2 linked regions of the Arabidopsis thaliana genome follow. The protein of the gene in region 1 interacts with the protein of each later gene in a biochemical or structural test. Each region holds a gene or a part of one and is shown on either strand. Other genes may lie near its edges. The genes, in order: PID and PBP1.

Region 1 (4,744 bases):
TCGAGGGAGAAATAATAATTGGAGTAAGGTGGGAACTAGTCCGTACAAAACATGGACCCCACGAAATATATAGTACGTACAAGACACAGAAGTAAGTCATTCCGATGTAGTTTTAGTAATTGGTACAAGATTGGGATATAGTTAAACTAGTTACCAAACACTTGGCTAAGAGAGAGTTTGAGAAGATACAGAAGTAACGGGAACAGTTATTGTCTTTAGGAACCAACGAGGAAGGGAATATCTCTCTGGGTTTATTTAACCATAAGTCCAGAGGTCAGTTCTGTTTTGTCTCTTTGCCAATTTAGCTGGCACAATTACGACTTTGTCCCTCTTCCACCAAACATCTCATGCATTTTTCTCCTTATTTCCTTCTTTTTTCTCCAAACTTCTTTCTCTTAAGTTTCCAAAATACTTAAGAGAATAACTGAATATAGTCACAGTCAAATATGTTAATGTTTGATTCAGATTCTTTAATTTAAAACTAAACCTAGGGACACTTATCTTAACCTAGGGACACATTAATTTTGAAAAACGTGTTCTAAGGTTAGCTAAGGAGAGGGCCATGCAGATATATATGCGCCAAATGAATCATAAGCGGTGGGCATATTTATGTCTGTCCTTTTTATGGCTTATGAAACAAAGTTAAAGCTATATATTGTGCATGAAACTTAGGCTACGTTTCCCCTCTATTTTCCATTCATTTTGAACTCAACATTTGCAAGTGTTAACCACACTTCTTCTAACTGTTGTGATTCGTTTATTCTAGCCATTTCACAGATTGAGGCTAGTATAAGTATTCTAGAGTACATTATATGAATACGTCTCAAACTTTTACTGTATAAACAAAACAGTTTTCCAACCGCGAACAGAGGTTGGATTAGAGCAACTCATGGAAAAGATAAATCGGAGATGAAAAAAGTTGTCACAGTGGTCAATCCACAATGATATGAGAGTAGGACAAGTAGGTTCATTCCCGTATAATTATATAATACAATATGTTATAGTAGCCCAAACATTATAGGAGGTGGAGCTAAAACAAAACAAAAATTAGCGAGAGGAGATCTCCAATTGACAATAATTGAATCAACCAAAACCTAACCTAACATAAAAACAATATCTTGGATTCAAATCCAAAGCTTGGAACGTAACGTAACATGAAGCCACAGAAAGCCAACAACATCCTAGTATATAGGTTGGGTCCCTTCCAGCATTTGTATCATCTTTATTAATGATCATTAGGTATGTTCATAGTCGGTATAAATATATAGGGTCCGCACAAACTGGTACACTTTTTTAATGGCAAACATAGTGGTACGAATTGATAGTAATTAAGTGTGTTTTGGTCAATAGCTAGTTTTTTTGGGGTTTTCAAAGATTATATATCCGTGACCATGAGTTCTCTAGTTCAACTCTCACTCACGAGAAAGACAAATGAAAGAACATACTGTACTAGTTTTTGTCTAAAAGTACTCTTTGATTAACCTTTAGAAAATTGATGTTATCATTAAACAAAAAAAATAGTTTCACTATCTCTTCCTATAACCTTTTTTACGGGCTCATTGAATAATTACATATCTTTTAGTACATTTTGTACCAAGACGATATAACATTACCAATCATCTTGAATTAGCCAGAAACAACAAACTAAAACTGTTTAAGTTTCAGAAACTAATCCATATATAATGTTGAGATTAGTTAGTATTCATAACCTATGGAGTATTAATCTTCAAAATTTTCCTCATGAAATCTGTATTTAGTCATCACTTTTTTAACACAGATGAATCACTAGTCCAATATTTCTCCAAAAAAAGACACAAGAGTCTCGAAATTGTAATCCATATCTGTAATTTTGCACCCCTATAATATGCCTAGAGGAAATAAGAAGAAAAAATAATGGGGAAAAAGAGAAGCTACTGCTACACTTTCAGGCACGTGACAACGTCTCACACGTGTCATATATCTTACGTCATCAAGTCCTCTTTTTCTCTCTTTCACTTTTCTGTTTACCTCTCTCACGCGTTGAAAAGTGCAATCAATCTTACATAATTAACCACAGTAAGAAAAAAAAAAAATGGTCTCTGTAACGTCTTTTTACTGTTATAACCTTACACGCATAAATACCCCTCACCAACTCTCTCTGTCTCGCCTCTCTCTAAAACTCCAACACTTCTCCTTCTTCCATCTCTCTCAAACTTCTGAAAATCTTCTTCTTCTTCTCAATCATAAACCCTAAATCTTCATCTCTTCAGATCAGAAACTAATGTCCATTCAAAGACACCCTGTCCTGTTTCATCTCTGTCATTAGTCTTCTGTTTTCAGATTCCAATTTTTTTTCTTGAATTATCCTCTTAGCCATTTCTTGATTTAACTTCGATTTTCCCGGCGATGTTACGAGAATCAGACGGTGAGATGAGTTTAGGAACAACAAACTCACCGATAAGCAGCGGAACAGAGAGTTGCAGCAGTTTCAGCCGGTTATCATTCGACGCGCCGCCGTCAACTATCCCCGAAGAAGAAAGCTTCCTTTCTCTCAAACCTCACCGATCCTCAGATTTCGCTTACGCAGAGATCCGAAGACGAAAAAAACAAGGCCTAACCTTCCGAGATTTTCGCCTCATGCGTCGTATCGGCGCCGGCGACATCGGAACAGTTTACTTATGCCGTCTAGCCGGAGACGAAGAAGAGAGCCGGAGCTCGTATTTTGCGATGAAAGTTGTGGATAAAGAAGCTCTTGCGTTGAAGAAGAAGATGCATAGAGCAGAGATGGAGAAAACGATTTTGAAAATGCTTGACCATCCATTTTTGCCGACTCTTTACGCTGAGTTTGAAGCCTCACATTTCTCTTGCATCGTTATGGAATATTGCTCCGGTGGTGATTTACACTCTCTCCGTCATAGACAACCTCACCGGCGATTCTCCCTCTCTTCCGCCAGGTAAAAAATATCAAATTTTATTGAATAATTTAATATTATGGACAAAGTCAGATTTTTTTTCAAAAAAAAAAAATTGTGAAAAAAGATTCATCATCATCAATGTATATATATATTTTATAGTTACATGCATTGACTCTGTTCACATTTGTTATCTTGTTCTGCAAGAACAGACCTGTTCTTATCATGTCGGTCTTTTCCAGTTCTTTGAATTGTTATCAAAGAGTCTTTTTCAGCCCATCACAATTTATAAACGTCAATAATTATGATTTTATTAGCTAATGAGTATTTATTTTGTTTTTGGTTACAGATTTTATGCCGCCGAAGTTCTAGTGGCGTTAGAATATCTACACATGTTGGGTATCATCTACAGAGATCTGAAGCCTGAAAATATCTTAGTTAGATCCGACGGTCACATTATGCTCTCTGACTTTGACCTCTCTCTATGCTCCGACTCAATCGCAGCCGTTGAATCTTCCTCGTCTTCGCCGGAGAATCAACAACTCCGTTCACCGCGACGATTCACTCGTCTCGCTAGACTTTTCCAACGAGTCTTGCGGTCTAAAAAGGTTCAGACTTTAGAACCAACCCGTCTCTTTGTTGCTGAACCGGTTACTGCCCGGTCCGGTTCGTTCGTTGGTACGCATGAATACGTGGCACCAGAAGTTGCTTCAGGTGGATCACATGGTAATGCCGTTGACTGGTGGGCCTTTGGAGTGTTTCTCTACGAGATGATATATGGCAAGACTCCGTTCGTTGCGCCGACTAATGACGTCATTCTCCGTAACATTGTGAAAAGACAGTTGAGTTTCCCGACTGATTCGCCGGCGACTATGTTTGAGCTTCATGCGCGGAATTTGATTTCCGGGTTGCTTAACAAAGATCCGACTAAAAGACTTGGGTCACGGCGAGGTGCGGCGGAGGTTAAAGTGCATCCTTTTTTCAAAGGTCTAAACTTTGCGCTCATTCGTACGCTTACTCCGCCGGAGATTCCTTCTTCCGTCGTCAAGAAGCCGATGAAATCGGCGACGTTTAGTGGTAGAAGTAGTAACAAACCAGCGGCGTTCGATTACTTTTGAACGTTTTCTACGGTCGAGATTAGGGCCACGTGTTAGTCTGTTTTAGCTGTACATATTCCCTCGAAGCTGTCCTTTTTTTCGTTCTTTAATTTTTAAAATTTCGTTAATCTGACTTATAAATTAAAAATTTAGGTGACTTTTCATACAATTTGTACAACAAACGGATTAATCTAAAACTAATCTATTTTATAATTATCATTATCAACTCTTCGGAACTTGGGAACATCTATTTACCAGTCTAACGATAGTTAATGTTAAGGCATTATATAGTTGACCAAATTTGGTCAAACATTTCTTACCGGTTTGAATGAACTACTTTTCACCGCAATGGAAAAGAAAACGAATTACTTTATAATAAAACTCGTCACGCCTAGACTTTGTAGTTCGACGGGTATAGAAAAAGAAAAGAAGATTCGTCTTTTGACAATTGTAACACATGAAGTCATATTTGCTCTTTGTTAAATCTCTACGAGTCTTTAGAATGTCAAAAAAGGGAGAAAAAAACGTTATCCATAAGGGTAGGAATCTGCCTTTTTGGATCCGACCAGTTGCATGATCTCTCTTCTGCTTTCGATTCGTTCTCTTCAATTTCAACTTAAGGAGAACAATAAACTATAGACGGCAAGACGAAATTGTTTTCTTGATATAGAGTATCAAACGCATTCCTCTAGTGAATTCGTTTAAGCTTTATATAAAGTGGTGTCATTTTCTTTAATGTGTTAAATCGATTTCATT
Region 2 (3,551 bases), on another chromosome or scaffold:
TCAAGGGATTTGCTTCAAGAGTAATTGGTAGTTCCGGGACTACGACTCGTGATTTGGTTTTAAAGCGCCGTTTTCGCTTAGATGATCTCGCTGTTTCACTCTCTATGACATTAGAGAAGCTTTATATGTGGGAAAAGAAGCTTCACGCAGAAGTTACAGCTGAAGAAAAGCTTAGGGTTGCTTATGAAAAAGCGTACAAGATTCTGAACAATCTTGATCAAAACGGAGCAGAATCTAGTGAGCTTTACGAGGCGGAAACTTTGGTTAAACTCCATTTATCTAAGGTTAATGTTTCGGTTCGAGCGGTTGAATCGATTTCGATGAGAATTCATAAGATAAGAGACGAAGAGCTTTCGTTTCAAGTGATTGAGATCATTAACGGATTCAAAACAATGTGGAGATTCTTGGCGAAATGTCACCATAAGCAGTTTCGAGTGATTGCGAGAAGCAAGTCTTGTGTTCACATTGTTGAAAACGGATCGAGCTCCAGGAAAGCCACGCAGCAAGTCGAAAAACAGATTAGAAGATACAGAGAATCTTTGAAAGGTTACATTGATGCACACAGAGGTTTCGTTAAGCTTTTAAACGAATGGCTTAACCGAATCATCATGGAGGACGATGAAACCGAGACTGAAGCTCCTGAGATATTTAGGGTTTGCAGCGAGTGGTTAAGAGAGATTGAGAATGTGGATACGATTAAAGTGTTGAGTGTTGTTGAAGAAATGAGATTAAGATTTCAAGGGTTAGGGTTTAAGCAAGTAGAGGAAGAGAAACAGAGGATGAGAACAGAGAGATTGTCTAAGGAGTTAGAGAAGAAGACGAAGGAGTTGGAGGAGATTCGGGGAACGAGAGGTTCTAGTCCGACGTCGAATATGGTTGAACCGGAGTTGTTGTTTTTGAGAGAGAGTGTGACGCAAGAAACAGAAAAACATGAGAGATTGATAAGAGAGTTAAACGACGCCGTATCGATGAGTTTGCAAGAGTGTATGGTTCCTGTCTTTGAGGCTTTGGGAGATTTTTGTTTTGCTAATTTTAAAGCATATCAGAACATTGTAATCGTTACCACATAAACTCTATGATTGCGTCAATCATAAAAATAAATATGTATAGGAAATTAAATAAAGAATTTCATCAGATTTCGTATATTATTATATCAACATATTAGCTTTGAATGTTTGCGAAAGTTCTTCATTTTCTGGCGAGATTATCAGATTGTAAGACTTTTACTTTGATCAGTTTATGCTTCATTGCTTGCATCTGCTTAAAATTTCCGGTTATTGATCATGAACCGGGTTTTTTTTTTGTATATGACAATTATCTAAATTAAGTGTTCGAAACATTTTGAATTTTAAATATATGTTCAATCGGTCCCGAAAGATCTTGATCTAGGTAGAGATATACTTAATTAAAATCGATGAATGACCATGTCAATAAATCAAGATTCAATGTTCTTTCGACGAATTCTGTTCATTTTGCGGTTGGGATCATGCATTCATTTAAAATAAACCATTATTGAATACGTTATGGATAATGATAGTGATTAATTATCCAATGAGGAAGAGATTTGGTTGGATTGTTTTGGAGAGTAATAATAAAAAATAAAGGCATGCAATAGAAGGGGCAGACCAAGTGGAATATTCTGTCTACCACAACGAAGTTTCAATCAAAGATATCAGAGGTTAATGTCTTCCAATAAGCGACCAAAAATCTTGATTAATAATTAATTATATCGCCCAAAGTCACTATGAACTTGTACACGTGTTATTTTGGAGACTTTTCTCACCTAAATACATCGAGATCGCCTTGTTAGTTGGTACTTGGTAAACATTATGCTCTAATGGCTTTGGTTGTTATTGACGAACATACAATGTAATGAATATTTTCTCAATTGAGTTGTTTCATTTCTAACAAAACTAGAAACTAAAACAAGGAAGGCGATGTTTCTCACATGAAATTTACATACACGCAATGAAAACCAAACCGACTAAATTTTGTGTTTTTTTCAGGGTGATTTTTAAGAACATTCCTTAATCAATGGGATCTAAAAAAGTCACTTGCCTAAGAAAGTCACCGAAACTTCACATTCAAAGTAACTTTATCCTCTTCTCAGCTTTTCACATTATGAACCTCCCGTGGGAACAAAGACATTTATACCCTTACGTGAGCTTCCAAGAAGAAACCAACAATTTTTAAGATTTTTCCCCATTACATGTAGATTAGTTGGCTTCAAGTTTCTATGGATGTTCCTTCTCGGAAATCCATAATTCTCTTCCTTTATATATAAAACTTACTCACAACACAAAACCCATCTCTCAAAACAATCAATTTCTCTCAAACTGTTTTACTTTTTCTTCTTTTGTAATGGCATCTCCTAAATCCTCAACAAGACCAAACCAAGAAAACCAAGAACCTCAGTTCCAAGATTTCTTCCCAACAATGGCAGGAAAACTCGGTGGAGAAGGTCTGATCGAAGAGATTTGCAAAGGGTTCGAGCTTCTTATGGACAAAGACAAAGGAGTCATCACATTCGAGAGCTTACGAAGAAACGCATCGACGGTTCTTGGACTCGGAGATCTAACGGACGACGATGTTCGATATATGATCAACGAAGGAGATTTTGATCGAGACGGTGCGTTGAATCAGATGGAGTTTTGTGTGCTCATGTTTAGACTTAGTCCTGAATTGATGGAAGCGTCACGGTGTGTTGTGACGGAGGTGATCGAGGAAGAGTTTTACCGGCATTGATAGAGAAACCTTCTTATGCGTTAGAGACTTTGACTGAATTGTTTACACAAAAACCAAAATATAATTTAATAATTTATTAATGTTATTTTTATTCTCTCTTTGATTTCCCATTATTGTTGAGGTGGTCCATAGGATTGTTGGATTAATACTGAATTACTGATATGCAAAATTTGTCGAGAGTAGCGAAGGAAAATCTTAACTGATTCTATTCTTCTTTTATTCAAACTTTTTAGTTTAGGCTTCGTCATGTAAGGATCGATAGATAAGAATCATTAACCAAAAAATTATTAAAAATAAATATAAATCTTCAGAGTGAAAAAGAATATAAGTGTCAAAAACATTTTGGCGATTTTTGTTTTGAAAAAAAAAAAACCCCACTAAAACATTAAACCAAACTAAACTTAAGAACCAAGATGTTTTTATACCATTACCAAAACTTTAACCTAAATATTGAACCAAACTAAACCTAAATTGGCTGCTCAGTTAAATCTTACGACCTGTTTGATTAGCATTTTAGAAAGCTATGAGTTGCTGGCAAACAAAAAAACCCAACTCCAAGTCTAATATACATCATAAATAAGATTTAGGCTGACCATGGACTTGGAGTTGTGTTTTTTTTTGTTATTGGATAGAAATAGCATTAATAAAGGAAAAGCAAAAAAAAAGAAGAGATTTATTTTATTTACTGGATGGTAAGCTACAAAATCTTTATAACAAACGTCTTAACATATCATTCATCAAAGTCCACATTTAATTATTAGAACTCTTGAGTGTAGTGTCATCTTTCAACCACCTGATCATATTTC

The links.
Region 2: the proteins of PID (region 1) and PBP1 form a complex in vitro, tested with the Arabidopsis thaliana proteins (one study listed by BioGRID).

The regions. Positions count from the first base shown.
Region 1 is NC_003071.7:14,589,199-14,593,942, reverse strand, and holds PID (Protein kinase superfamily protein), read left to right. Parts: upstream 1-1,802; 5' UTR 1,803-2,385; coding exon 2,386-2,933; intron 2,934-3,240; coding exon 3,241-4,009; 3' UTR 4,010-4,207; downstream 4,208-4,744. UniProt on the Arabidopsis thaliana protein: Serine/threonine-protein kinase involved in the regulation of auxin signaling. Acts as a positive regulator of cellular auxin efflux and regulates organ development by enhancing polar auxin transport.
Region 2 is NC_003076.8:22,119,097-22,122,647, forward strand, and holds PBP1 (pinoid-binding protein 1), read left to right. Parts: upstream 1-2,005; 5' UTR 2,006-2,361; coding exon 2,362-2,745; 3' UTR 2,746-3,026; downstream 3,027-3,551. Other genes in the region: AT5G54480 (hypothetical protein (DUF630 and DUF632)), read left to right, coding at 1-1,070. UniProt on the Arabidopsis thaliana protein: Potential calcium sensor that binds calcium in vitro.